7 linked regions of the Canis lupus familiaris genome follow. The protein of the gene in region 1 interacts with the protein of each later gene in a biochemical or structural test. Links are inferred from orthologs where the notes say so. Each region holds a gene or a part of one and is shown in the gene's direction. Other genes may lie near its edges. The genes, in order: UBC, POLH, TNFAIP3, USP24, OTUD7B, SMURF2 and EPN2.

What was found.
Region 2: the proteins of UBC (region 1) and POLH form a complex in vitro, tested with the Homo sapiens proteins (5 studies listed by BioGRID and IntAct, with this or other methods). The link is inferred for Canis lupus familiaris from reciprocal best matches to the Homo sapiens genes UBC and POLH.
Region 3: the proteins of UBC (region 1) and TNFAIP3 form a complex in vitro, tested with the Homo sapiens proteins (13 studies listed by BioGRID, with this or other methods). The link is inferred for Canis lupus familiaris from reciprocal best matches to the Homo sapiens genes UBC and TNFAIP3.
Region 4: the proteins of UBC (region 1) and USP24 form a complex in vitro, tested with the Homo sapiens proteins (4 studies listed by BioGRID). The link is inferred for Canis lupus familiaris from reciprocal best matches to the Homo sapiens genes UBC and USP24.
Region 5: the proteins of UBC (region 1) and OTUD7B form a complex in vitro, tested with the Homo sapiens proteins (12 studies listed by BioGRID, with this or other methods). The link is inferred for Canis lupus familiaris from reciprocal best matches to the Homo sapiens genes UBC and OTUD7B.
Region 6: the proteins of UBC (region 1) and SMURF2 form a complex in vitro, tested with the Homo sapiens proteins (6 studies listed by BioGRID, with this or other methods). The link is inferred for Canis lupus familiaris from reciprocal best matches to the Homo sapiens genes UBC and SMURF2.
Region 7: the proteins of UBC (region 1) and EPN2 form a complex in vitro, tested with the Homo sapiens proteins (4 studies listed by BioGRID). The link is inferred for Canis lupus familiaris from reciprocal best matches to the Homo sapiens genes UBC and EPN2.

The regions. Positions count from the first base shown.
Region 1 is NC_049247.1:5,228,712-5,232,845, forward strand, and holds the start of UBC (polyubiquitin-C), read left to right. Parts: upstream 1-1,334; 5' UTR 1,335-1,493; intron 1,494-2,315; 5' UTR 2,316-2,318; coding exon 2,319-4,134.
Region 2 is NC_049233.1:12,222,791-12,227,218, forward strand, and holds the start of POLH (DNA polymerase eta), read left to right. Parts: upstream 1-1,346; 5' UTR 1,347-1,640; intron 1,641-4,092; exon of another isoform or gene 4,093-4,227; coding exon of another isoform or gene 4,228-4,233; intron 4,234-4,428. Other genes in the region: XPO5 (exportin-5), read right to left, coding at 954-1,058. UniProt on the Homo sapiens protein: DNA polymerase specifically involved in the DNA repair by translesion synthesis (TLS). Due to low processivity on both damaged and normal DNA, cooperates with the heterotetrameric (REV3L, REV7, POLD2 and POLD3) POLZ complex for complete bypass of DNA lesions.
Region 3 is NC_049222.1:30,494,471-30,497,918, forward strand, and holds part of TNFAIP3 (tumor necrosis factor alpha-induced protein 3), read left to right. Parts: intron 1-599; coding exon 600-1,519; intron 1,520-2,141; coding exon 2,142-2,338; intron 2,339-3,252; coding exon 3,253-3,448. UniProt on the Homo sapiens protein: Ubiquitin-editing enzyme that contains both ubiquitin ligase and deubiquitinase activities.
Region 4 is NC_049226.1:54,618,231-54,622,215, forward strand, and holds part of USP24 (ubiquitin carboxyl-terminal hydrolase 24), read left to right. Parts: intron 1-676; coding exon 677-802; intron 803-1,413; coding exon 1,414-1,512; intron 1,513-2,370; coding exon 2,371-2,453; intron 2,454-3,339; coding exon 3,340-3,481; intron 3,482-3,686; coding exon 3,687-3,806; intron 3,807-3,985. UniProt on the Homo sapiens protein: Ubiquitin-specific protease that regulates cell survival in various contexts through modulating the protein stability of some of its substrates including DDB2, MCL1 or TP53.
Region 5 is NC_049238.1:59,895,812-59,899,796, reverse strand, and holds part of OTUD7B (OTU domain-containing protein 7B), read left to right. Parts: intron 1-152; coding exon 153-380; intron 381-1,828; coding exon 1,829-1,930; intron 1,931-2,736; coding exon 2,737-2,864; intron 2,865-3,985. UniProt on the Homo sapiens protein: Negative regulator of the non-canonical NF-kappa-B pathway that acts by mediating deubiquitination of TRAF3, an inhibitor of the NF-kappa-B pathway, thereby acting as a negative regulator of B-cell responses.
Region 6 is NC_049230.1:14,565,317-14,569,301, forward strand, and holds part of SMURF2 (E3 ubiquitin-protein ligase SMURF2), read left to right. Parts: intron 1-677; coding exon 678-815; intron 816-3,783; coding exon 3,784-3,904; intron 3,905-3,985. UniProt on the Homo sapiens protein: E3 ubiquitin-protein ligase which accepts ubiquitin from an E2 ubiquitin-conjugating enzyme in the form of a thioester and then directly transfers the ubiquitin to targeted substrates.
Region 7 is NC_049226.1:41,167,882-41,172,523, reverse strand, and holds the start of EPN2 (epsin-2), read left to right. Parts: upstream 1-1,549; 5' UTR 1,550-1,684; intron 1,685-4,642. UniProt on the Homo sapiens protein: Plays a role in the formation of clathrin-coated invaginations and endocytosis.

The DNA.
Region 1 (4,134 bases):
AATTTAAATAATACAATATTCATAATTTAAAACAGGAATGAGTCTTTTTTTAACCGCAGAACATTGTTTAGGCAACTTTTCCTATTTGTTTTTTTCTTGAAAGCTTTGAGGGTGAAATGAAAAGATCTTTCCCCCCTCCACACTGAAACAGAGAATAGCTCCAGAAGAGACAGTGGCTGGGGGATTGAGCATGTGAAGGACTTTTCTCTGTAAACTTCCAGAAACTTTTTAAGTTTTCACCATATTCAGGTATTTTATTTTTCAGTCTTTCTCCTTTTATTCAAATGGAATTTTGCCATAGAATTCAATGTAATTAAATTATTTATTAAAGATCTTTATTAAAAAAAAAAAAAGATCTTTATTCATGAGACATCAGAAACAGAGACACAGGCAGAGGGAGAAGCAGGCTCCCTGCGGGGACCTCAACACAGGACTGGATCCCAGGACCCCGGGGTCACGCCCCGAGCCAAAGGCACTCAACCACTGAGTCACCCAGGTGCCCCAAATTTTGTATTTGGGATATTAAATTGTGTCCCCCCCCCCCCCGCCCACGAATGTACAGGCCTGGGATTGGACTTGTGTTTCTGAGACCCCAGGCCTAAGGAAGTTGTACGTCTGAGCTCCACTGAGTGTCCACCAGATGCCTCCGTGTGTGTATCTAGTACAAGGCGGCGTAGGTGGTACAGGAAGGCCAAAGGACATTCTAGAAAGTTCGGTGGACTTCCAGACGCCTCTCGAATAGGTGCGGGCAAAGCGTGCGGGGTTTCTGCGCCCCCTTCTAGCCTTCGGCCGTCCCGCACCCCCTGCTCCCCCGCTGCCCCAGCCCAGCCCGGGCCCACCTCCCGCCCCGCGCCGCGATCTGTCGAGTCATCCGTCCTGTCCGCGCCCGCGCGGGGGGATGGGCGGGCCGCAGGCCCCGGCGCGAGGACCCCTGCGGTCGCGGAGGGGCGAGGGACCACGACGCCCAACCCCTCTCCGCCCAGGGCGGGTCTCGAGAGCCGCGGGGACCGCTGCGGCCGAGGGGAAGGGGTGTCTGGGTCCCGCGGCAGGGGCAGCTCGCCCCGGACGCCCGGCGATTCCGCGCCGGGTTTTCCCGTCTCCCGCGGGCCCTGTTCTCCGCGCTCGCCCCCTCCCCCCTCCCCCCTCGCATCCGGCGCCGGCCACGTCCGCGGACGCAGCACTCAACGGGCGCGCTGATCCCTCCGCGCGGGCGCTCGGGACCGCGGCCCTCTCCTCGCCAGATTCAGCCCTACAGCCCAGCCTTGACAGGTCGACGTTTCCGGGGGCTCCTAGAAGATTCTGGGGCAGTGGTTTTCTCCCTGGAGGCCAGGAAGACGGTGAAAAGTAGTCCCTTCTCGGCGTTTCTGCGCAGGGATCCGCCGGAGCGGCGCGGCCGATTGTTATATAAGGAGGCGCCGGGCGTGGCGCAGGCAGTTCCGTGGAGGCCGGGAGGTCGGTTGTTCGTCTCCGTGCGCTTCTGTCACAGCCGCTTGGTGAGGAGCGGGCCGCTGCGCGGGCCTGGGGGTCTTGGGGCCCTGCAGGGGCGGGGGGCCGGGCAGCCGGCTGCCCGGGGAGTTGCCCGCGGCGCCGGAGCGCGGTTACTCTTGGGGGGGGGGGCGCAGCAAAATGGCGTCCGCTACGGCTCCTGTGCGGGGAGAAGCCGAGGTGCGAGGGGCCGTGAGGAGCCCGGGAGACGGGATGGCTGTGAGCGGGCGAGACGCGCCGAGCCAGTGGGGCCCTGACGGGGCCCTCTGCGCAGTGAGTGGGGGCGGGAAGCCCCTGTGTGCTCCGCGGCCCCGCTGGCGCCACGCTCCGTGTCCGGTCGCGGCGAGTGGGCCCGAAGTGCCGGAGCAGTCCTGCGCCCGTTTGGGGGGAGGGGGCCCGCTCGTCGCGTCGGTCATGTGATGTCATCGCTTTGTCAGCTAACAATCCGGGGTGGGGCCGCGTGTTCCTGTGTGTGGAGCCGGCTTGGGTCAGTCGCGGGGCACAAGGGTTAGGCGGGGCGGGGGAGGGGAGATCCTGCGGATTGTCCGGTCCAGACATCACTGAGGGGGGAGGGGAAGATACGGAAGCCGGCGCCTTCACTTGACCGGTATCCATGCTTTCTCTCCTCCTGGGGCCTGGAACTTGGTTTTGGAGCTTATTTGAGTTTCCAAAACCTGTCCTGTTTCTTCGCCTTAGGTTTTTTGGCGAGGTTTATTTTAGTTCTTGGGTTAGTGTAAAATGACCAGTAACTGTTAGCGTTCTATTCACATGTGAGTGGTCTGTTACACTCCGGATTGTTTTTTTTGTTTTTTTGGGTTTTTTTGTGACAGACAATGCAGATCTTCGTGAAGACTTTGACGGGTAAGACCATCACCCTGGAGGTGGAGCCCAGTGACACCATCGAGAACGTCAAGGCGAAGATCCAGGACAAGGAGGGCATCCCCCCTGACCAGCAGAGGTTGATCTTTGCTGGCAAACAGCTGGAAGATGGGCGCACCCTGTCCGACTACAACATCCAGAAGGAGTCCACTCTGCACCTGGTCCTTCGCCTCAGGGGGGGCATGCAGATCTTCGTGAAGACCTTGACGGGTAAGACCATCACCCTGGAGGTGGAGCCCAGTGACACCATCGAGAACGTCAAGGCGAAGATCCAGGACAAGGAGGGCATCCCCCCTGACCAGCAGAGGTTGATCTTTGCCGGCAAACAGCTGGAAGATGGGCGCACCCTGTCCGACTACAACATCCAGAAGGAGTCCACTCTGCACCTGGTCCTTCGCCTCAGGGGGGGCATGCAGATCTTCGTGAAGACCTTGACGGGTAAGACCATCACCCTGGAGGTGGAGCCCAGTGACACCATCGAGAACGTCAAGGCGAAGATCCAGGACAAGGAGGGCATCCCCCCTGACCAGCAGAGGTTGATCTTTGCCGGCAAACAGCTGGAAGATGGGCGCACCCTGTCCGACTACAACATCCAGAAGGAGTCCACTCTGCACCTGGTCCTTCGCCTCAGGGGGGGCATGCAGATCTTCGTGAAGACTTTGACGGGTAAGACCATCACCCTGGAGGTGGAGCCCAGTGACACCATCGAGAACGTCAAGGCGAAGATCCAGGACAAGGAGGGCATCCCCCCTGACCAGCAGAGGTTGATCTTTGCCGGCAAACAGCTGGAAGATGGGCGCACCCTGTCCGACTACAACATCCAGAAGGAGTCCACTCTGCACCTGGTCCTTCGCCTCAGGGGGGGCATGCAGATCTTCGTGAAGACCTTGACGGGTAAGACCATCACCCTGGAGGTGGAGCCCAGTGACACCATCGAGAACGTCAAGGCGAAGATCCAGGACAAGGAGGGCATCCCCCCTGACCAGCAGAGGTTGATCTTTGCTGGCAAACAGCTGGAAGATGGGCGCACCCTGTCCGACTACAACATCCAGAAGGAGTCCACTCTGCACCTGGTCCTTCGCCTCAGGGGGGGCATGCAGATCTTCGTGAAGACCTTGACGGGTAAGACCATCACCCTGGAGGTGGAGCCCAGTGACACCATCGAGAACGTCAAGGCGAAGATCCAGGACAAGGAGGGCATCCCCCCTGACCAGCAGAGGTTGATCTTTGCCGGCAAACAGCTGGAAGATGGGCGCACCCTGTCCGACTACAACATCCAGAAGGAGTCCACTCTGCACCTGGTCCTTCGCCTCAGGGGGGGCATGCAGATCTTCGTGAAGACTTTGACGGGTAAGACCATCACCCTGGAGGTGGAGCCCAGTGACACCATCGAGAACGTCAAGGCGAAGATCCAGGACAAGGAGGGCATCCCCCCTGACCAGCAGAGGTTGATCTTTGCCGGCAAACAGCTGGAAGATGGGCGCACCCTGTCCGACTACAACATCCAGAAGGAGTCCACTCTGCACCTGGTCCTTCGCCTCAGGGGGGGCATGCAGATCTTCGTGAAGACCTTGACGGGTAAGACCATCACCCTGGAGGTGGAGCCCAGTGACACCATCGAGAACGTCAAGGCGAAGATCCAGGACAAGGAGGGCATCCCCCCTGACCAGCAGAGGTTGATCTTTGCTGGCAAACAGCTGGAAGATGGGCGCACCCTGTCCGACTACAACATCCAGAAGGAGTCCACTCTGCACCTGGTCCTTCGCCTCA
Region 2 (4,428 bases), on another chromosome or scaffold:
TGTGGCAAACACTGTATGGTGTTAAAAGTAAAGTTCCTTCCAAATGATGTTCACTGTACATTTAAATGATGTGACATCATTTAAAATTACTAAAAACTTTAAAAAATAACGTGCACAAGTGTTTTTCCTAATGGTCATTTCTCACAATCCACACACGTAGTTTGATGTGGGAATGAGTGCGCAATTTATTACCATCCCAATTTGTATTAGCATTCCCAAACTGCAATAGAAGAGTCAGTCCCAAGAGCTGAGCATGCGGACTCAAGAAAACTACTTTCAGGAAACCAAAGTGCCCTTGTTAAAATGCAAAGTAAGTGGTAGAAGTTCATCTTTGCGCAAAATAGCCTGAGAATAGAACAAGTAAAAGAACGTGGGGGGGAGGGTGTGTGAGAATGAGCCCAGAAATAACCCAAGACACAGAAGAGAATTAGTGAGAGGGGTAAGAATGTAAATAAAGTGGCACTAGCGGGGCTGGAGCTCGGCTAGGATGGGTCAGGAGGATGCAAGGAAACGTTTAATGCAGGGGAGACCGTAAAGAATGTAGCTGGTGTTGGGGACGTACGTGACGGGCACGTGCGCCACGGGAAGGCTAGGGGACGTGGGGCTTGGGGTAGTAAAATAGAAGCATCGGGCTGTGGTGTGGGTAGGACTAAAGAGAAGTGGGGAGAGGAGAAGAGAGGGCAGTAGCAAGTGGTAGTGAGAGGAGGAGCAGCAGGGAACCAGAGGGTCCCGAGAAAAGGGCAGGCGCGACTGGCAGAGAAAGCCCGAGTGAGAAGAAGCGCGGAGGGCGAGGAGGGGAAAGGCTAAGGGCCCCCGGGGGTTGCAGTGGGAGGTTCAAGGGCCGCGTGGGCGGGAGACCAGCAGGGCTTCAGGCGGCGGGGCGGGGGGGGGGGGGGGGCGCGGGGGCTAGGGGAGGATCTTGGGGCAGGCCCAGGACGCCGGACCCCTTCTACCTTGAGGGCTTCCAGCCGGTAGCGCTGGGTGGAGCTGGGGTCCATCATGACCGTCACCGCTTTCACCAGCTGCTCGCACAGCGCGTTCACTTGATCCATCGCCATGGCTAGTGCCACGCGCCGCGAGCGCGCACCACGGCCGTCCCAGGAGCACGAGGCACCGACCGCTCCCTTCGGAGGACCACAAGCTGGTACCGGGCCGCGGCGGGCTGGGGGGTGGGGAGCGGGAGGAGGAGCGTGAGCTGCAGAAGCTCCAGCCTGGAAGGAGCGGGGGCTGCGCACGCGCCCGACTCGCCACTGCGCACGCGCCCGCGGAAGTGGCGGCTCCCGTGTGACGGTTGCTCCTGGGTGGGCGGAGCGGAGAGCGGAAGGGCTGCAGTGCGCAGGCGCGCCAACGGCTCTTTTGCGGCGCGCGCGCTGTCTAATCTCAGTTCCGAGGGCTGGCTGTTGAGCGCGCAAGCCCTGGCTAGTCCGGCGGGGCGGTGCGGGCGGCTTCCCCAGCCAGGGTCGTCTGGGACCCGTGGTCCGTTTCTCCGTCATCACGGGGAATAAGTTTCTGGAAGCCGACTGGTCCTCTCCCGGAGACGGGGCAGATAGTCAAGACGCCTTCGTCTTCCTTGAGTGGACAGCGAGCCCGGCATCTCCGGCGTCCGTGCCTGGCAGTTTTTCCAGGTGACTGCCCCATTGGTAAGAGAATTTCGAACCGCTCGGCAGACTTTTCATGTTGTCTTGGCTGTTGGTTTCGTGCTGTAGCAGTGGCTGATGATGACGTTGGGCCAAAATTCGATGAAACAAACGCATGCTTACGGAGACGTAAAGGCCCGGTATGGTTCCCTGAGAGGAATTTTCTTGTGGGAAAGTGGTATTTTAGCTAGCTCTTAAACTTCCCTCTTCGCTTGTGCTTATTTTCGTTAGATGTGTTCTCGCCTGACGGGCACCAAACTTATTTGGTACAGATGGTGATAAGTCGAGATATTTGAAGATGAATAATTGCAATTATTGAAGGCTTGTGCAGTTTGCATCATTTGAAGTGCTACGTATAAGACTTCAGAGCAGTGTAATCCTTATTCGGAAAAGGGGGGGGGGTTTGGCAGCGAGTGTGTTTCATTTTTTTCCATCTTTAAAAAGCTCTTGCTTTCTCCAGCAAAATACATAAACTGAAGACTTCATCAGATTCATTTTCTGTTGAAGTTTGCATATTGGGTTTGTTTACTCAATAAAATGTTTGCTGGACTTAAATCACTGCTTCCTATTCATACTCCATTTCTGCCATTTGCATCTCGTGTGGTACTTCCCTGGTAAGTTTAGTGTATGTGTGTGAAAATGTGTTTACTATTTTTATTCTGGCATCACCATCTGTTCCAGTGCAACACAAAAGCCACTTCATGGTGAGGTGATTTCTGACATGTTATGGTTGTAACTTACAAATGTTTAAAGTTACACATTCTGCCAGTTTTCAGTGAGTGGAATTTATAAGGAATTAATACCTTGATTATTCAGATTTTTAAATTTGTTGTATTCTTTCCACTAATCTTATGTGATTTTTTTTTAAGAGTACAGTTGAGTGCTTACTCAACTGTATAACCTATGTGTCTCATATTTAAATCACCAATTACTGGTGTTTCCATAAGTATCTTATATACTTGAGGTCTATTGTTTCCAGTCTCTGCTACATATTAGAATTGCCTGGAGACCTTTTAAAAATCACAGTGCCCAGGTTGCACCCTGTTTTGTGCTAGCTCAATCTATTATCTTTAATTAATTTAAATAACATCTGAGTAATATTGATATTTGGCTTCTACCACCAGAGATCGTAATTTAATTGGTATTTGTGTGTTTTGTGCTATCTCAGCCTAGCGATGGTAATGCCATGGTTAGAAATGCTTGGGGGCACACTCACTTGGGCTCCAGTGAGCTTCCCACAGACACCTCCTCTGTCCAAACCATAACAGTGACCTTCAGGAAACTTTGAAAGAAAAAAAAAAGTTTATTCTTTACAAGCCCTGGAGATCACAAGACACAGCAGTGAGTACACAGCAAGGTTACAGGTAGTGAGGGACCAAGCTAGCACAGGCTGGGGGTTTTACTGGGGTTGAGGGTGGCCATCAAGAGTTTCATGGGTGAGCTTATTTATTTATTTTAGATTTTAATTATTTGACAGAGAAAGAGAGCACAAGCAGGGGTAGTAGCAGAGGGAAAAGGAGAAGCAGGCTCTCTGCTGAGTAGGGAGCCTGATGTGGGACTGTCCCAGGATCCTGGGATCATGACCTGAGCAAAGGCAAACACTTGACTGAGCCATCCAGGTGCCTCTTCGTGGGTAAATTTAAAAAATAAGAGCAGGAGGGGCACCTGGGTGTTCAGTCGGTTAAATATCTGCCTTCAGTTCAGGTCATGATATTGGGATTCTGGGATCTAGCCCTGAGTCTGACTCCCTGCACAGCGGGGAGTCCGCTTCTCCCTCTCTTGTCCGCTTCCCTCCTGACTGCCTTCTCCCGCTCATGCTCTCTCTCAAATAAAATTAAAAATAAAATTTTAAATTAAAAAACAGCAGGAATTTAAAGTATAGGAAGAGAGAAAAAGGAAAACAAAAAGCCCAAGCACCCAAAAATGGCCAGTTATTGAAATCAACCAAGAACTCTAAAACAAAGCAGTCTCAGGTTGGGGAGGCAGCCTGGCACTTTATATAGTCTTTATATAAAGTGTATATACACTATATAAAGTCTTTATATAGTGTGTGTGTGTGTATATATATATATATATACACACACAAATGGCTGTGTTTATTCAAGATAGTCATCTTTGAAGTGGATGCCTCAGCAATCCAAGCTTAAATCAGGCATCTGCATTATGAAATAGGGATGGGGGGAACAACTGTGAGAGTTTACACAACAATCTACCCTGTGATGCCAGAGTCAGTGATGAAGACATCAACTGCCTGGATAGCTAGTATGTTAAAAGGGTTGAATAATTATACAGGCTATAGTTTGAAATCCAGTCTGTACTTATCGTCCCAAATTTGAAAGGGTCCAGCCATGAAAATAGGTCAGTGATCTTGACTTTTTGGCTAGCCCTGGAAATCTCTTCAAGGATTTGGGTAATATTGTGAAATGTTTTAACATCTTCAGCCATCTGGTATAAGTAGGTTTGAGCCTGTTCTGAGTTGCTAGGTTGTTTCATATCCAATGGAACCAGTCCCTTAGTCCTGAGAATAAGTCAGTTTAATTAAAGGGTTGTGTCTTATTTCAGAAGGTGGTGGTGCAGGTGGTTCCCCAAGTTAGGCCTGTTGGAGGGAAAAAAAAAAAAAAACAGTAAATTTAAAGATCTTACTGGCTTTATTCAATGGTTGTGAATTGGGCAGCATCTCATCTAACAAAAAGGAACTCCTGAGAGCTGTACAAAATGAAAGAATTTTATAGGCAGAAGGGGACATGACAAGAAAGTTACTGTCACAGGACGCCTGGGTGGCTCAGCAGTT
Region 3 (3,448 bases), on another chromosome or scaffold:
GGATAGGAGAATCCGTTTCTCAAAGCGGAGGCGGGCCCATTACAGAAGATCAGAAGTCCATGGACAGCACCTGTGAGCGTGGCGGCTACTTAGTCACTGTGCGGGGTGGTTAATGCTGATACAGACCAGGCACAAGTTTAAGATCAATAAGATCAATAACAGCAAAATAGAGGCAACGAGCTCTCAAAGTAGACTATGAAGTAGCCTCATCCCAAATGAATACCCTATGTAATATTTTCATAGAAGTTTGAGAGAAGTTAAAAGGTAAAAGTGACTTTTGAGAAGAGGAATAGAGTAATCAAGTGTGGAGGCATCCCCAGAATAGCCCTTTCTTTAGAATTATCTGTAATTTGGGTTGGACCAAGATTGATTAAGTAAGATTTTGATTCTCGAAATAACGAAATCTTCTTAGATGGACTGTGCTACATTGGAAGCGCAGACTCTTAATCATGAGCCTGCATTTCAGTGAATGCTTGTGAAGTTAATGCCATAATCCACATTCTAAAAGTTTGCCCTATGAACTAATGATATGAAATCGTGTGTGTGTAGTGTGTATCTGTGTTTGTGTGTAGCCTCATATTTTTCCTTTTGGTCTTTAGGCTGGATGAAGCCAACTTACCCAAAGAAATAAATCTGGTAGATGATTACTTTGAGCTCGTCCAGCACGAGTACAAGAAGTGGCAGGAGAACAATGAGCAGGAGCGGAGAGAGATGCATGCTCAGAATCCTTTGGAACCTTCCGTTCCCCAGCTTTCTCTCATGGACGTAAAATGTGAAACACCCAACTGTCCTTTCTTCATGTCAGTGAACACCCAGCCTTTGTGCCACGAATGCTCAGAGAGGCGGCAAAAGAACCAAAGCAAATCCTCCAGGCTGCACTCCAAGCCAGGCCCTGAGGTGCTCCCGGGCATAGTGCTTGGGCCCTCCCGGGGAGAGGCCTATGAGCCCATGGGCTGGAGCCCCGAAGAGCCAGCTGGGGGACCTCATTCGGCCCCTCCGACAGCCCCCAGCCTTTTCCTATTCAGCGAGACCACCGCGATGAAGTGCAGGAGTCCCGGCTGCCCCTTCACACTGAACGTGCAGCACAACGGATTTTGCGAGCGCTGCCACAACGCCCGGCAGCTTACTGCAGGCCACAGCCCGGACAGCATGAGGCACTTAGACCCTGGGAAGTGCCGAGCCTGCTTACAGGATGTCACCCGGACATTTAACGGCATCTGCAGTACGTGCTTCAAAAGGACTACAGCGGAGCCCTCCTCGGGCCTCAGCTCCAGCGTCCCTCCTTCCTGTCACCAGCGGTCCAAGTCAGACCCCTCGCAGCTCATCCAGAGTCTCTCCCCACATGCTTGCCGCAGAGCCGGGACCGAGGCTCCCTCCGGCTGCCTCTCTCAGGCCACACGGACTCCAGGGGACAGGACGGGGACCAGCAAATGCAGAAAAGCCGGCTGCATGTATTTTGGGACTCCAGAAAACAAAGGCTTCTGCACGCTGTGTTTCATCGAGTACAGAGAAAACAAACGTGAGTGACATGATTAGTTTCCTAACCCCGTTTCAAACCCCTGGTCTAGAAGCTGCAAGAAAGCAGCCCCTCTGGGTGGTGGGCACAGTGGGACAGTTGCCTGGAGACGTAAGCCACAGAAATCCACCTTCCAAAACCCTATAGCACCTCGTAGATAGAGTTCAGAGGATTTGTGTCATGAGGTCATGCAGCATCTGGCATTTATAAGGTAGAGTTTAAACAGGACTTCTTTGGAAACGTAGGTGTGATAGAGAACATTCAAGATCCAAAGAGCAGTAGCTGGACTGAAGGAAGCCTCTGCCAACATTGTAAGAAAACCTGGGTAGTTTTAGCAATCTCTAGCTTGAAAGAGGGATGGGAAGTTGACGTCTTTGCATGTTCTGTTACTGTACCTGGCCAGTGCAGCACATTCAAAAGTGAGACATCTGTAAAGTTATAGATGTTTTGATGATGACATTATTACCATTTTTTATTTGGCTGAATTTATAAAAGGCTGTGTTCATGGATGCATGGCATAGGCTGCCCTAAGCTGCATCCAGAACCTGTCTTTTTCTTTAACAGCAAGGTCTCTCCCTGCTTGGAGACCACATGTGACACTGATGGGCCCCAAACTCTCTTTTAGATTTTGTCACTGCCTCAACAAAAGCCAGTCCCACGGCCCCCAGGTTCCAGAACGCTGTTCCGTGTTTGGGGAGGGAATGTGGCACCGTTGGCAGCACCGTGTTTGAAGGATACTGTCAGAAGTGTTTCATTGAAGCTCAGAGTCAGAGATTTCATGAAGCGAAAAGGACCGAAGAGCAACTGGTGAGACATTTTGAGGTACTTTCCCTGCCCCGCCAGGATGCCCTCCTGGCTGGAGCCCCTGCTTCTGACCAGACCATCAGACTCTCCTCCCAGCCAAGTTCCAGGGAAGAATTGCAGGGGTGGAGAGAAGTCATGTGGCCCCCAGGGTTGGAAGTGCAGTAGCTACTCTTGATTTTCATGGCTTAAGTGTACTTTAGAACTCATTTAAAAATTAAATGGAGGGACGCCTGGGTGGCTCAGTGGTTGAGCGGCTGCCTTCAGCTCAGGGCATGATCCCAGGGTCCTGGGATCATGTCCTGTATCAGGTTCCCCGCAGGCAGCCTGCTTCTCCCTCTGCCTCTGTCTCTCATGAATAAATAAATAAAATCTTAAAAAAAAAAAAAAGATGACTTAAAAACTAAGTCGAGTTATCCATAGAATAAAACCTCTTAAAGTCCACAGAAAGCCAGACATTGAACAGAGACTGCTTGAGCTTTAGTAGCAGCAAAGGCATCTGAGTGGCCAGCAGGCTTTCTGAAGTAATCCTTTGTCACGAGACAGGAGGAGGAGACAGAGCAACCCCAGTGCCTCCACACAGTGGCACATAAGAAAAGCAAACTTTGGCTCATGGGCGCCTGTCCCTTTGTTCACAAGAAGGGCAGCATATTACTAATCCAAGCAGAGGCCGCTGGGCCAGGCTTCGCAGGCCACTGGGCCAGGCCTGGTACTCGGCCTCCCGGGGGCCAGGCCTGCTTTCATGGTCCTGGGCGGGGAGGCGTCCTTGGAGAGCTCCCATTCTCAGACTGTGTGTGCCGCTCCGGTTTCCCTGGGTCAGGCAGATGCTCTCCATCCCATCGAGTTCTCTGTAGCTCCCTTCCTGGCTAATGGGATTGCCTGGTGTTCTCCCTGAGAAAATGGGACCAACAGCTCTCTCTGCCCTTTCCACTCAGCGATCCAGCCAGCGCAGAGACGCTCCTCGAAGCACCCCGAGTGCCTCCAGGCCCAAGTGTGCCCGGGCCTCCTGCAAGAACATCCTGGCCTGCCGCAGCGAGGAGCTCTGCATGGAGTGCCAGCACCTCAGCCAGCGAGTGGGCGCCGGGGTCCACCGGGGCGAGCCGGTTCCCGAGGAACCCCCCAAGCAGCGCT
Region 4 (3,985 bases), on another chromosome or scaffold:
AGTTACTTACTCTCAAATTCTATTTCCATAAAATTACTAATGTTTTTAGTATTTTAGAAAAATTTAGGGTCTGTCATCAGTGCTCTATAATAGTTAACTCTTGAACAACACAGGAGTTAGGAGTGCTCACCCCCCAGTGCAGTAAAAAATGGGCATGTAACTTTGGACTGCCCTAAAACTTAACTACTAATAGCCTACTATTGACTGGATAGTCAGAGTTAACTCATATTTTATGTGTTATATGTATGATGTACTCTATTCTTACAATAAAGTAAGCTAGAAAAGAGAAAATACATTTATAGTACTGTACTGTACCCCCCAAAAAATCCATGGATAAATGGACCTGTATGGTTCAAACCCATGTTTAAGGGTGAGCATATACTACAAGTTCATTATATTGCAGTCAGTAGTTTTCAAAATACTCTATATGTATCATGCCATGTTTGTCTCTCAGAGAGATTACTAGTTCCAGTTTTTCATAATCAAATAGAAGCTCAAAGAAATGACTTCATGAGTCCACCAAAAGGAAATACTGAAGCTAAACATACTCAGAGTGTAGCCACATCCAAACATATACAGCATCAGAAAAGCAATGTGGCCAGTACACATACGTATGTCCACGTCGCCTGTGAAGCAGTGAACTCTTTCTAGCTTAATACACCTTGTTTCTGTTTAGTCGTTACTTTCAGTGGATGATGACACGGACAATCCAGACGATAGCGTGTTCTACCAGGTGCAGTCGCTCTTTGGGCATCTGATGGAAAGCAAGCTGCAGTATTATGTACCTGAGAACTTCTGGAAGGTATTTCACCCAATATCTCTTTAGATTTCAAGACGTCAGATATTTGGATCTAGTGGTAATTGTTTCTGTCTTTATTAACTCTAGACTAATCCCATTTCCAGGAACCTACAGAAGAATGGACTCTACCCCATTCTTCTTAAGATTGATGTTCAATTTCAAATGATTACAATATTAAGAATAGTCATTTATAATTTCTAGGGATTTGCTGATCTTAACGATTTTGAGTACTTCTCATGATTCTCATTTTAGCTCTTCAGAATATTTATTCAAAGTATTCCAATTTCACTAATGCTCTAAATAAAGAACATTACTCTGTTTCACGGGAGTACCTTGTATTTTCCCTCGTAGTTCGGATAGTTCTAAGACAGAAACTCTATGTTCTGTGGCCTCAGATCCCACCTGGTATGGTCTCCCAGACTTGTGATGGTTACACAGGGGCCAGGGACAAGCATAGGTAGCTGAACTCAAGCTTGTCTCATTTCAATAAAAATGTCTACTGCCCTAATAATGACCCTGGTTTTTAGAAGCATTTAAGTGCTCTTTCACATTTGTGTTCTTCTATATTCAGAAATTGCTACTTTTCATTTAACAATATATTTCTTATTGCATAGATTTTCAAGATGTGGAACAAAGAGCTTTATGTGCGAGAACAGCAAGATGCATATGAATTCTTCACTAGTCTTATTGATCAGATGGACGAATATCTCAAGGTAGAAGAAAATGTCACTTTCTCTCTGGACTCCCTCAAACTGTAATACGAGTGGAGTGTGGCAGGATTTGGGATTACTGTGAAACCGACAAATCAGAATCTGGTCATCTTTAATACCACAGCCATAATTCATTTCTTCTGGTGGGGTTTGAACATCAAAACAGACACAGATCACTACAATTATGGACTTCTTAATTCACCCAACATTTGATGGGAGTCTGTAGTTCCTAACCTGTGCTTCATACTCACCATCTGCATCTCATGCTCTTATTGTGGGTGCACTGAGGTAGCCTGGCCTCAGGACTGCTGCCCTGGCAGGGAACCTGACAGCCTGTGCATGTGCATGGCAGTCTGACTGCCAGAGAGGCTAGCTTACCAACCTAAAGTTTCCTGCCCCTACCTTGCATGACATGTGACAGATCCTAAGTGATGCTGCCTCCTAATTACAGGGCACCTCCCATCACTATCCTTATCTGCCCCTCCTCTCCTTAGGAGGCCAAGTTATTTCCTTGTTCAGAAAACTCACGATCATAGCATTTTATCCACAAGAAAGGAGAAAAGATTGTGGAGAGTTGCTTCTAACCTGGTCATTGTCGCATGGGAAGAAGGATTCGGAATCATCACTGAGTGCTGTTTTTGTCACCAGCTGCCATTGGCCTCTTCTCCTCTTCCTTTGCCAGTGGAGCCAGTGGGTTCTAATCCTCCCATTCAATCCCAGCTTAAACTATCACCATGACTCAGTGTATTTTAGCTGTTAAGTTCAAATTTGCACTTTAGCTTAGGTCTAAATAAAATTCTATATAAGTGACCTGCAAATTCTCAGGGCATCAACTAAAATTCTAACATTTTATTCCAACAGAAAATGGGGAGAGACCAAATTTTTAAGAATACTTTCCAGGGCATCTATTCTGATCAGAAGATCTGTAAAGACTGTCCTCACAGGTAAGTGAAGATATCATTGACATCAAAACTGACCCTCTTCAGTTTTTTTTTTTTTTCCTCTTAATTGGTAGTACTTTGTTCATTAATTTTCATCCATATTTTACTTGACTAAAGTGACAGTAGATAAAAATCTGAGCTATTATCTTTTTAATAGTATTTTTATTCCAAAAGCTACTATAACAGTTTATTGATATATTTGGTTTCAGCCAAGTTCTAGAATATTCAGATTCATGAGCATCACCATGCTTAATATTTTTTTTTACCCTACTTAGTATAATGTAAATCATGATGCAAGCAGAAGCTTTCCTATATAAAAAAAAAAAAAAAAGAAGAAGAAGAAGCTTTCCTATAGAGCTTTAAGAGTACTTTAAGTTTCATATGTAAACACATGGATTTCCATTGGAAGTCATAAATCTTCAAACAAAATTACGTATTCTCAGAGTTATCCTAATACAGATATCAAACTTGGAAGAAATATTTTTGCAGTAGGAAAAGGATTCAGTACTAAGGTGAAAACATGGAAGTTGCCATTTGGCTACAGTAGACTGTACATGATCATCCTTTTTAAATACTTCTAGCATGTCATGAATCGTGCATTGTTGTAAGACTTGCAGATCTCTCTCTTCAGTGGACCTATAAATGTTTATTGAATTAAGTTTCTCTGGTTTCTATATCTAAAATTTCTTTGCTGAAATTCATAACTTTAAGTCATTTCTAGTTAACAAAAATTGGCATTTTTATTTGGCAGTGTAATTTTAAAAGGATGAGGGACAGCATTGGTTAATTTCAGAATTTCAGAATGTAGTTCTGTGTAGACTCTCGTATTGTGGTAGTTTCAAGATCTTTAAATTCTACTGTTTGTTTTTCCTGTGATTTTCCTAATCAGATACGAGCGTGAGGAAGCTTTCATGGCTCTCAATCTTGGAGTTACTTCTTGTCAGAGCTTGGAAATTTCTTTGGATCAGTTTGTTAGAGGAGAAGTTCTAGAAGGAAGTAATGCATATTACTGTGAAAAGTGTAAAGAAAAGGTACCACATTTCCCTTTTTTAGAAAACAATTGATTTGTTATTCATTTGTGTTTTATGTAAGGGCAATATTAAGCTCCTATTGTTGCTAAGTTGCATCATTACCTGTTTTTGCATGGGCAGGAGAGGCCTATGAAATCTCTGATCTTTGTATGATTTTGCTGTTTTATTTCCTCCATGAAAATAATTGGGTTTTGCTTTTCTTTAGAGAATAACCGTGAAAAGGACCTGCATTAAGTCTTTACCTAGCGTCTTGGTAATTCACCTAATGAGATTTGGATTTGACTGGGAGAGTGGACGCTCCATTAAATATGATGAACAGATAAGGGTAACTTATGTTTTCCCCCTGAAATGTCTTAAAATGATGACCTCACTTTCTTTTCTGCTGTTTATTTTTACATGTTTAACTTTGGCCTCCACTGTGAAAGACTGTCATCTCAGCATTTGGAGAAGTACACAGCCCCTTGTCTTAAGCAGCTGCCACCAGTAGACAGGCAGACATGTAAA
Region 5 (3,985 bases), on another chromosome or scaffold:
TTGAGAAAGCGGGTTGGGAAATTTGGTAGCCAGTTGGACTTATAGGTTTTCCCTGACTGAAAGAGGTAACCCTTGTTAGGTAATCATCACCACATGAGTGGGATGTTCTTTGGGCTGTGTATGTTCTAAGGTAACTCCGTTTCTCATTGCAGAAAAACGCCTGTCTAGGGGCATCTCCCACGCCAGCTCCAGCATTGTTTCCCTGGCCCGGTCCCATGTCTCCTCCAATGGTGGGGGTGGGGGGAGCAGTGAGCACCCCCTGGAAATGCCCATCTGTGCCTTCCAGCTTCCAGATCTCACTGTGTACAATGAAGACTTCCGCAGCTTCATAGAGAGAGACCTTATTGAACAGTCCATGCTGGTTGCCTTGGAACAGGCAGGTCAGTGAATGCTGCTTTTCCCCAGGTTCTTCCCTCTGCTCTTTACCTGTAGGCAGCCACGTGGAGGGCCTGGCCTTAACCAGTAGCTCCCAATCTAAGTGTGGGATCTGACTGCAAGTGTCAGTCAGATCAACACATATACTGAGTTAGGTGCTTCTTTTCAGGACATAAATTAAATACTTTCTCCTGGAAATTTCTATTTGGTGGAAGGCAAACCAGATATGCACATGAAAGGCCCAGGAATCCATACCTAAAAATCCATACATGGGGAAGAAAATACGAATGAATCAAAATTGGCTCTGGAACATGTTTGTGATCAGAAAATACCAATATTATAGCTGATGTACACCGGTGATTAATTTAAAAGTGCCATTTGTTTATATGAGCCTTTCTCTGAAGATATATTTACCTTTACAATTGTGTTTGTCTTAAATTACTGTTAAAATTGGTTAACATAGTGGGGTGAGGCTGCTGGAAATTATGGAAAAAGCTAGTCAGGTATTAAAATTCCTTGGAAGAAAGATGGGGGCTGGGAGTTGGGGGCATGGGAAACAAGCTTTCATTTTTCATTTGTACCCTTCTATAGTATCTGTGTGGATCTATTTAATACTTTCTTAAAAAGTTAGCAGGTTCTAGCTAGTGAGATTATAGGTTAGTTTTTTTCTATTAACTTTTTAGTAATTCAAGAAGACTTTTTAAGCATGATTCATGAAATATTTTTCTCCTATGAATAACGGATTGGCAATTGTGGGATGACTATACAGAATTGAGACTCATTTTCTTAGGTGTTTCGTATGCTTTGTCTTGTTGCTTATATCTTTAAAGTCATATCACATACAAGTTGCCACGCAGTCATATATGCGATGATACTTACGTGACTCTGTGAATACATGCTTTGGGTTATTTTTCTTTTAGTGATGATGTTTTTGTGCTGAGTTTCATTGTTATATTATTTACTGGTCTCCTGACCAGAGGGAAGACATCAGAGCCAGCCAAGAAGCCAACACAGATTTCCACCTATGACCTTGGCCTCATCATCTAATCCAGAGTGGCTCAATCTCAGCATTGTTGATATTTAGGACCAGATAATTTGGTTGTGCAAGCGGCCTGATATGATATATTATGTTTAGCAATCTCTCTAGTCTCTACCCACTAGATGCATCCCTCCTCCAGTTGTGACAACAAAACAGCATTTCCAGATACTGCCAAATGTCCTCTTGGATATTGGTTAGATCAGTGGTCCCCATGTAAGAACTGCTGATCTAACCAATCATGCTCTCTAGATTCTGATTCATTAGGCATTAGTGAGGAAGATATAAGGAGTAACAGAGATGGTTTTATTCTGGGTAGGCTTCCTGGAGGAGGCAAGTTTGGAGTCTTTTTTAGAGTTAGAGAAGTGGGAAGGACTTTATGGATAATCTACTCCTCTCCTTTTCTTGTTTCTGTAGGGCGTTTGAACTGGTGGGTGAGTGTGGACCCTACCTGCCAGAGGCTGCTTCCTTTGGCAACTACTGGGGATGGAAACTGCCTCCTGCATGCAGCCTCTCTAGGTAAGTTTTGAAAATGGTGTTCCGTACCCTCAGAAAGGAAGCAATGGAATTAAATCTCATGTGCAGGACTTAATCCGCTAACCTTGATCTTAGGCAGAAATGATGGCATAGTGTGTATGTGTGTGTCTGTGTTTGTGTGTGTGTCTGCGTGCGCGCATGGGTATGGGCATGCGATGCAAGAGATGGAAGAGAGCCCTGCCCTGGTTTTTCAGTCTTGTTCAGAGAGCATATGGAGAACACATGCTTTAGTGTGGGTCCCACTCTGAGAGCTACCCCCAGAAGTAGTGAGCAGCAAGTATGTAAGCAGGGTAGAGCTATGTGTGTCTATCATTATACTTCATATTTATTCTTTTGCTGTATAAAAAAGATATGCTTTCATTGGTTTTTGTGAGATTTGTTTAATTATAAAACTTATTTATAATTCAATATGTTTTTTGCCTTAGATTTTAAAAAAGTCCTCATTTTCCAACCATCCCTCCAGCTTTGATGGTGATTGCCATGTGCCAGACCCATCTTCTATACTGCCACCATGTATTTTAGTTTGTTAGACTTGTGTCATGAGTAAGGAACTTTCTGTCAGGAGTTTGTAGGATGTGGTATATCTCCCACTTGTAAGTTCTCAAAGTATCTGAACCTCCAGAGTAGGAACACATTTTCTGTCATGGTTAAGTACCTCTCCCCTGAGTCACAGGAGTTTCTTTGAATCTGGCCTTCAGCCTGATTTCCTTCATGCTAGGACATATGCATCATAATTAGTAAAGGTAAGTCAAGGTAAGGTGTCCTATTGGTATGTTTTCTTGCTGCAGGCATGTGGGGTTTCCATGATCGGGACTTGATGCTACGGAAAGCTTTGTATGCGCTGATGGAGAAAGGAGCCGAGAAGGAAGCATTAAAACGGCGCTGGAGGTGGCAACAAACACAGCAGAATAAAGAGGTGAGGGAGTTTGGGAACACCTTGTTCTTAGAGTTGGCTATGGTGAATGCTCAGTGTGTGCCAGTAGGCCATGTCTCCTGGTGCCTGATCAGTGGTACTCCCTTTGGAATCCTGGAAATTGTAGACAATACAAAAGACACCACGGGCCTGTGCCTTTCTGAGATAATCATGAGAACTAGCATGGGGAAGCTGAGAATCATGGAGGAGGTAACTAACATGCTTCTCACCTGATGGACACTCATTAAGTCTTCAGTAGTAATCTTTTGCAAAATAAGATAGGACAAGTCCACAGGATTTTTGTATTGTTTGGAGCTTTTTTGCTTATAATAATAAAGCTAAACCAATTTTTAAGGACTTATGTTTTCAACCCTTATAGGAATGTAAATGCTTAAAAATTTTGTTGGCTATATGTAATACTTGTTTTTCATACACTCGGTTTGTTTAAAAATTTTAAAAACATGCCTATTAAATTGAGTTTGAATGATACTTCTCAGGGCCTTAGCAGGTGTTAAGACTGCTTTTGTATAAGAACGTAACAATGGCTGTTTGTACTTTCCATCCCCATAACTGGGGTTGAAAGCTAACTATGACCTGTGAGACAAATCTCAGTAACAGTTAAAAAAAAAAAAAAGTTTCATTGGAACACAGCCCTGCACATTCATTTATATATGTTTGCTTTATGTTAAGTGCTTTCCTTGTGTAAAACAGAACAGCAGCAGGATAGAGTAGTTACATATGGCCCACAAAGCCTCAAAGATTTACTGTCAGGCAGTTATGACGGGGCAGTAAAAGAGTTGGCTGAACCCTAACTGTAATGATGACACTGTACACTTACACAAAGATAACAAGTCTCCCTCTTCCCTTTTCCCCTAGTTCTCTCTCTCTCTTCTGTGTTTATCTTACACGCTGTTTGAGTGTATCTGTTTGTTTGTTTTGCCATTTATATGGCTGGGTGTTCTGGCATAAATATGGGACAGTCTTTTCGGAAACTTTCTTTTTTCTTTCCATTTTCCTTCTTGTTGCCTTTTATTGCTCTATCATAACTGGCTATTATATAGAACTAAGAGGGTTTTTTTTAGTTATTAGAATTTAATATCCTGAAGATTAAAATATGAAGGTAG
Region 6 (3,985 bases), on another chromosome or scaffold:
TGGTGATCATGACCTGAGCCTAAGGCAGACACCTAACCGACTGAGCCGCCTCGGTGCCCCAAAGTACTATTTTAAAGAGGGGGGTGGAGAACAAGTATATTTCTGTTTTTAAAGGTACCACATAATAATGATTTCCTCCACATGATAGAAGTTCTGTTCCAATCCTGCATGTGTGAGAATAGCAAATTCCTGCTGCAGTAGTGATTGTTGAAACCATACTTTAAAAAAGATACCTAGAAGAATCAGTTCTGTTTTGTCAGAGGCCATTTACTTAAGAATATACATTGGCCATACTTAGTTTTCAAATACACAGGTAGCTTTCCCATGGGACACTCAGGTATTTGGTTGCATGGGGGTACCCAGATTCAAATAGGGCTTCTTACCTAAAAGCCAAACATAACTGAAGTTTTCCCTATGTAAAGCCCAGCTTTGGCAGGGGACTTTGTCATTACTCAGGAAGTGAAATGTTTCCTGTGTTTATGAAGGTTAAAGCTTTTTGACCTTTCTGCCCCAAAACTAGGATATATGGTAGCATAAGGACTGGCAAAAGGAATCTGATCTTATATTTGTGATGTCATGAAACTATCTTAATTTTATTTGTCTCACCAATTAAGACATCTGTAGGATCCATATTTTAGATTTTCCAGTTTAATATCTTTCTCTCTTTTCCTTTCTAGTGAGAATGATATTACAGGTGTTTTGGACCATACTTTCTGTGTCGAACATAACGCATATGGTGAAATTATTCAGCATGAACTTAAACCAAATGGCAAGAGTATCCCTGTTACTGAAGAAAATAAAAAAGAATATGTCAGGTAAACACTTCTGTGTTTTCAAGCCTGAGAATTATTTTAATGCTCTCGAATGACAATACAGAAAAACACTGATATATTTAGGTAGTGTTGCTTATTGCTACAAAATAGGCTTCTGCAGAATTTAGTGGCTTTAAAAACAACCACTGTTTTATTTGATCTCTCAATTCTACAGGTAATTTGGGTAGAGAACAGTAGGGATAGCATAGGGCTCCTCCATGTGGTGTTCGCTGGGACTGACCCCAGGATGGCCTTTTCATTCAAATACCTGAGCCCTCAGCTAGGATGGCTACGGTGGCTGGAAGCTGGCTGGAATGGTCACTGGGTCACCATCTGGGATCTTGTTCTCACTGTTGGTTTAGGCTCCCTGGTTATCTCCATGTCAAGTCTGAGGCCTCTCAGAATTCTCCTCGTGGTGTCTGTCTCCCCAGCAAGATAGCCAGACTTCTTAGGAGCAGCTGGTTTCTCAGAGCACAAAAGCAGAAGTTGTCAAATCTTTTTAAGGCCTAAGCCTGGAACTGGCTGGATCAACTCTGCTATGTTCTTCTGTTAAAGGGAGTCACAAACCAGCCCAGGCTCAGCGTGTGTGGGGGGAACTGTTTAAAGGCATGAATACCAAGAAACAGGGTGCATGGGGCTAGTTGTAGTAGAACTGCCACAGCTAGCTGTACAGAACACTACATGCTGTGTTTCCAGCAGTCATTTTGTTTATAAATAGTGAGTTTAAGGGATAAATATAAGAAATGTTCTTCAAATTTTATATAATCACCTGATGATTGAGGAGTTTTGAAATACTGGGTTAGATCATTTGGCCTATGTGAACTAAAGTTCTTTGAAACATAAAACTATGGTAATCTAATGTAGGTGTTTGAACTTTGCCACATGTACACAGAAATGTGCACACTGTTCTTTTTGTGTAGATTATGTCTCTAAGTCTTACTGGCTTAAGTTTTCCTGGTTGACACATTGAGGCCCATCAGTCTCACAGACTGTTCATGGGAGTGAACCCTGGAATAGCTTTTTTGGAAAGCAATTTGATAACAGCTCCCAAAATGAATATGCACATGCCTTTCAACCAGCAGCCCTGTTTTTTAGGAATCTATTCTGTGGAAACACATGGTAGTTAAATATAAATAAGGATGTTCACTTAAATACTGCTTGTAAAAACAACTGGAAACTAATGAAGTGTATTAGAGGAGAACAATTTACATACATACATACACTCAACAGAATATTATATGGATGGATGTTTAAAAGAAAGAGACTATATAAGTTGTTAGATTTAAAAAGCAAGTTTTAGGGGCACCTGGCTGGCTCAGTTGGAAGAACATGTGATTCTTGATCTCAGGGTCATGAGTTTGAGCTACAGATTGGGTATAGAAATTACTTAAAATAAGTAGATACGCTTTTTTTTTTTTTAAGGCAAGTTTTAGACATTATGGGAAACAAAGTCTGTGTTATTTTATAATTATTCGGAAGATGTCCAGGAAGACTACATACCAATAAGGTGTTTGGCTAGGATGAGGGAGTGTGAGTGCAGGACCTGGATGCAGACAGGGAGGGGAGGGTAATAGAATGGGCTTTCAGTTTTTATTCTGTCTCTACATTTACTGTTTGATTTTTCTTTACATAGAAAACGTGCATGTTATTACATTTCTAATTGGCGAATAAAAGAATGGATGGGAATTTCCTGAATGTCATTCAGTAGTGTGTCACTTTGGGATCTAGCATGGACTGCTGAGTTCTTAGACCCCACTTGCTGGGACTCAAGCATGTTTTTGCACAAAGTCATATCTCCTACCAGATACAGTTTTGACAGAAAAAAATTAGAAAAACTTTTGTAGATGCACAATTTTGCTGTCCTCTTAAATAAAAATGAGGTCCACCAAAGGATCTAATCTTAAGTAGCTTCTTAAAATAGAGAATTGTTTCCCTAGGTTTGGAAGTAGAAATGTTGACATATTTGGAAGGTGAATAGTTCTGAGATTTTTGAGATGGAGGAGTTTTCCCAGGTAGATAGATTTTTTTAAAAGGCAATTTGGTTATAAGTCCAAGTCAAAAATATAAGTAAAGCTACATGTTAGATGTAGTCTGGTATACTTTTTGTTGGTAGAATTAGATCTTCTAGTTTTTTTTTTTTTTTTTTTTTTAGATCTTCCAGTTTTTTTTAAGGCCTCCAGGGAACAATGAGTATTTAATCAAAAAGTGTTTACTATTGGCTTTTACTGTTCTCATTTTGGATTTAAAGAGTGTCTTTACTTCCTCTTTCCCTACATACCACCCGCAAAATATAAACAAAATACCCCACACATTCAGATAATACTTTGAAGTGCAACCATAAAAATAGTCTGTTTTGGTTGAATGGCCTCTTTCTTTCTGATTGGTGGCATGTATGCTAAAAGTTCAGAAAGACGTTTCGTACAGATTTTAACTTCAGACCCAACTAATTTCTAGCTGCCTTCCAGTGTACTAGGAGTTTCTCTGATTTGCAGAGTTGCTTTATTTATGCTGCTTTTGTTAGTGGAAGGTTTCCACTTTTTCATTTATAATGAACTATCTCTCAGGTCCAGGTCCAGTACCCTCAGGAATCTGAGATTCCTTTAGACTGTAGATTAATTTTTTTTTAAAGATTTTACTTATTTGTTTGAGAGGGAGAGAGCAGGGTTGGGGGTTGCAGAGTGGCTGGTGTGGGTGGTGGGGAGGAGAGGAAGAGGGAGAGAATCACAAGCAGACTCTGAGCTGAGTGCAGGGCCTGATGTGGAGCCTGATCTCATGACCTATGAGATTAGGACCTGGGCAGAAACCAAGAGCTGCACCCCAAACTGACTGAGCCCCCCAGGCAGCCTAGACTCTAGACTAAACTCTTAATGCTAGGTGCTCACAAGGTGTACTGTTGCTCAAGTAGAGATTCGTAATAGTCACCAAATCTGAATCTATTTGATTGTGTGAAATCCCTGCCCAATGTTTACAGGCTCTATGTGAACTGGAGATTTTTACGAGGCATTGAGGCGCAATTCCTGGCTCTGCAGAAAGGATTTAATGAAGTAATTCCACAGCATCTGCTGAAGACATTTGATGAGAAGGAGTTAGAGGTCAGTATGTTAATGTCATGACATCATTTAGTGTCACAGGGAAGGTTGGGAATTTTCTGTTAACTGCGTTTTAGAGGAAAG
Region 7 (4,642 bases), on another chromosome or scaffold:
CCCCACAGGGATCCTGCTTCTCCCTCTGCCTATGTCTCTGCCTTTCTCTCTGTGTCTTTCATGAATAAATAAAATCTTACCAAAAAAAAAAAAAAAAAAGCTAAATATGGTCTTAAAAATTCAGCTCCTTGGGTCACACTAAGCCACATCTCAAGCGCTCACATGTGGATGGCACAGCTAGAGAACACTTCCATCATTGGAAGTTATATTGGGCAGCATTGAATCTATGGGAAGCACTCCAGCCTGCACTGGGCACCCACAGCATGTTGGCATAATCCATCTAGAGTTACAAACTGAGGGCATGGGCCATGATTTCATGTAAAGCTCTGCTCTCCCAGAAAGCCCAGGAAGGCCCAGCAAAGATGAGTTTTCTTCATCCATTGGGCTTCTTCCTAGGGAGGAGAAATACAAAGCTCAGAGAAGTGCTGTGACTTGCCCAAGGTCTCTTATAAGTGAGGGCAGAATGGGACTCATGGACACAGCTTCCCTGAAACCAGAGCTAAGCATAATGCCCATGTCACCGGGGCTTCCTTGGATCCAGGCAACAGGGATGGTGCTGACTGCCAACCCAGCAAGCTGGGACCCATACTCCAGACTCTGCTGTGAGGGGTTTCTGCTGATCCCACCCTTTCTGGGGTAGGAACCTCTCCAAAGTCTGTCTCTTCAGCTTTGTCTTCTGTCTCCCTCTGAGCCTCACACAGAGCTTGGCACATTGCAGGAGCCTCATGGGCACCTGTTGAACCCAATGCAAGGGGTGGATCCTGTTGCTCTTGTGAGTGTCAGGCCCTGCGAAGGGGTGAGTCCATAAATTCCTCTTATGAGGATAACGGTGAGCCAAGGGCTTTACATTTTTCCTATATGGATCCCTTTGGCAGTCTAGCAAAGCTGATGCATCCCTTCTCAGAACCATTTTTGAGTTTTTTTGAAGTACGAACACATCTACACAAAAGTGCACACATCTATAGTGTACATCAGTGAATTTTCAACAAGTGAACACTACTCGTGACCCTGGCACTCAGCTCAAGACACCGAAAGTGACCAGCACCCCAGGAGCCCCTGGCCCCTGCCAGGCCCCAGCTCTGGAGGAGAGCCCCTATTGGAATAATGTTTCCAAGTGCATATTGCAAGGCGAGGGTAAGAACGGGGTTTCAGCGCTGATGGAGGGCTCTGCGTGCGCGCCTGAGGCTGGCGAGATGGAGTATGGGGTACGGGGGGGGGGGGATTTGTCGGGGAACGGGGTGTCTGAGTGAAAGTTGCCGAGTGCGTGGGTTCGGGTGTGTATTTGGTAGGGTTTGTGGGCGGTTGGAGGGTGGTCGTCAAGAGGCGTGTGCGGGGCTTGGGGGGACGCTCGAAGGACTCGGGCGCAGGTCGCGAGGCACCGCGGGGAAGCGGGGCGCTCTGAGTGGGGTCGTGGGTCTGTGGGGGGAGGTCGCGGGGGCGGGGCCTGGGGAGGGGCGGGGCCTCGGCGGGCTGGGGGCGGGGCCGGCGGGCGCGCGCACGCAGCCGGCGCGCCCCCTCCCGGCCGCCATGTTGGCTGGTGTGTGGGTGTCAAACGGAGCTAGACGCGGCGGCGGCGGCGGCGGCAGCGGCGGCTGCGGCGGCTCCGCGGGCTTCGGTCGCTCCCGCCTCCCCAGTGCCACCCGCGGCCGCAGCCGCGTACCCGGGCAGGCTCGGAGGAGCGGAGGTGAGCCGGGGCCCGCGAGCCTCGGGGGCGGGGGGGTGGGCGGGCGGGAGCGGGGCCCCCGGGCGCGGACCCTCCCCTCCCCGGGGCGCGGACGCCCTCCCTGCGCGGCTGCCCTCCGGCCAACCCCCCAGAGCCTGCCCGGGCTGGGTCCCCAGCTCAGGTGGGACCCTTTCCTTTCCAGCCAGGCTCCGCCCCACGGGTTGGAGCATGGCCCCCTCCCCATCTGGATCCCGCTTTCAGCCTCAAGGGAGCCCCCCCCCCCAATCTCCCTGTCGGGGAACTCTCCCTCTTACGTCCTCGGAGTCAGGGGCTCAGCTCCAGGAGCCTCTCCAGGCCCTCATCCTCCACCTTTCTGCGGGAACCACCCCGCCCCTCCTCCCCAGAGCACTTTCCTCCCCGGGTCGGGCCGGGCGCCCCCTTCCTCCCGAGCCGAGCCCGATCTCCCTCCCGGCCGCCCCCGTGCACAGCCCAGCCCCTGTTTCCTCCAGGAATCGGGGGAGGGGTCCTCGCTGTCCAGGATTGCGTCCGGTCGCCGCTCTCCTTCGGGCTGGAGCTGGGGGCCCCTTTCCCTCCCCGGGGACCAGGTTCTCCCTCCCCACCCCCGACCCCCACGGCACAGCGGGGACGGGGGCGGCAGAGCCTGGCTCCAGCTGCCTTTTGTTCCGCGTGGGATGCCAGAGACCCCGCCCGGCGGTCCCGTTCGGCTGATCCGGGTGGGTGAATGGGTGCGTGGGGGCCGGCCTCTTCAAGGAGACCCTTCCTCTCTCTGCCCGTGGGGCGGCTCCCCCAGAGCGGAGCGCGTTGGCAGAGGCTGGCCCTTCCTAGAGGAGTCCGTGCCAACAGGTTTTTGTTTGCGACCTGAAGTTGGCCCAGTGGCTTCGCGGGGAGGGGTTGGGGTGGGGAGTGGGGGCACCTTGCCCTCCCCAGAAACCCCTGCAGGGGCCTGTGAAAAGCCCATTCCTCCTCCCAGGGGCACGACAGCCTGGGGTCCCTTCACTGTTTTGTCCTGGGGACGCGTCTGAAATCTGTGCTTTACGAGAGGACCGGGCTTGACCATCATTGGGGTCCAGAGATGCAATGATTTGCCCAAGGTCATGCAGTGCTACTGTGTCACTGCCAGAACTAGAAGCTTGGTCTCCCGGGTGCTCTCTTCGCACATTTTAGAATTTTAAAAGCGATGTTCAGGATAACACCCCTTCCCCCCCTCTTATTTTTAACATTCACACAAGATAATGGGCAGGAAAAGATGTGAAGTATGAGTTCTTCTTTTCTGCCTCCTCCCAAAAAAGCCCTGTGAAAGGAGAGGTTGGAACAGGAGGTTAAAACGATTGAAAAAGGTGAATTTTAATTACCACTCTCCCAATTACGTAAGATAATGAAGATTTGGCAGAAAACATGTACATCTTGTAGCTCTAGATAGCAGATGATAGGTGCTGGCAAAATCATATACTGAATCCTGCACAACAGTGATTGAGTTTGCACTGATAATTAAGTTTTCATCTGTATTTAAATGAACATCAGAAGGGACTCTTTTTTTTTTCTGACTTGTTCTTGTTCCAGTTGATTGTATTTGGGATAAGTGATGGTGTTGGGGAAGCTACCAAGATCTGAACTTTTATCTGTCTGTATTTTTACTTTTGTATTTTTAAAGCTTAGTAGTTTCTTTAGTTTTAACATTGGGTTGGTCATGTTACCACTGGACTTTTCTTTTGTAAGCATTGAATGAAATACTGGCTAGTAAAGAGTTGGGTAAAGTGCAAATTATTGTCAGACGTGATTCAGAATTGTATCCCACAAGACCCTGGAGCAGGAGCAAGTTTGGATTGTCCTGTGGGATATATTGATCTCTCAAGGAGGCTTTTTGCCTCCTTGAACCTCCAGTTTGACAGATGAGGAGTTTGGTGGAGAACTGTCTCCCAGCAAGGTGCGTTTTGTCAAACACGGTGGCACATGTTTGGAAATGTAAAACTTTCAAGTGATGATACTTAGCATGGTATATGCAGCCTTGAAAATGACCCATCCCGGGGGTGCCTCAGTGGCCCGGTCAGGTTAAGCGTCTGCCTTTGGCTCAGGTCATGATCTCAGGGTCCTGGGCTCCCAGGGTCCTGTTTTTCGTTGCTCCTCAGGAAGCCTGCTTCTCCCTCTCCCTCTGCCTGCTTGTGCTGTCTCTGTCAAATAAATAAATAAAATCTTAAAAAGGAAAGAAAATAACCCAACCCATAAAAAAGCCCTTGGAAAAACACAGTTGATGCCTCTTAGGTAACTGGGCTTCCATGGTAAGGCGTGGCTTTCCTAAGTGTTGGGATTCTGATAAGAGTCCTGCAAAAAGTAGATGAAGAGTTTTTAGGACTTTGATTTGTTTCAGTGGCTTGCCTCTTCCTGAACTTAAAAGAGTGGGCTTTTTTTTTTTTAAATAAAGATTTCATTAGGTTGAGGGTAAACTTCAGTCTTTGGTGGGCTAAAGTGCCAAGAAATTTTCATGCATGGAGCTCTCTTTTCATACTCTTGGGAAGTGCAGTAAAGCTTTCGGGCATTTGTTCTTCCTATTCCCCAGAACCTTCCTGTTGGATTGATGGGCCATGGATGACTGTGGTGGTTGTCACTTGATGGCAGGAGTACCTGGTGACCCCGAGCCTTGCAGAAATAAAAGGGCTTGCATTGGGGGAACTTGAGGTTGGGGAGAGAAGGAATTTTGTAGATCTCCCCAGCCCCCCCATTTGTCTGCCAGACTTTCTGTTCGTGTGTTCCGTTTAAACAGACCTATTCTGTCAAGCCTTTGGCAGCCAATTTCAGCAGAGTCCCTCTCTAACTCTTCTCTCCAAGCCTTGCCACCCCCCAAGCAATCTTTTAGAGTGCTTAATCACCTTGTCTCTGTATCTGGGGCTTTTGTGGCACAGTGACATCTTTGAGGCTAGTCTTTGTTTACTTCTCCAGCACCCACCTCAGTCTCTGACATGG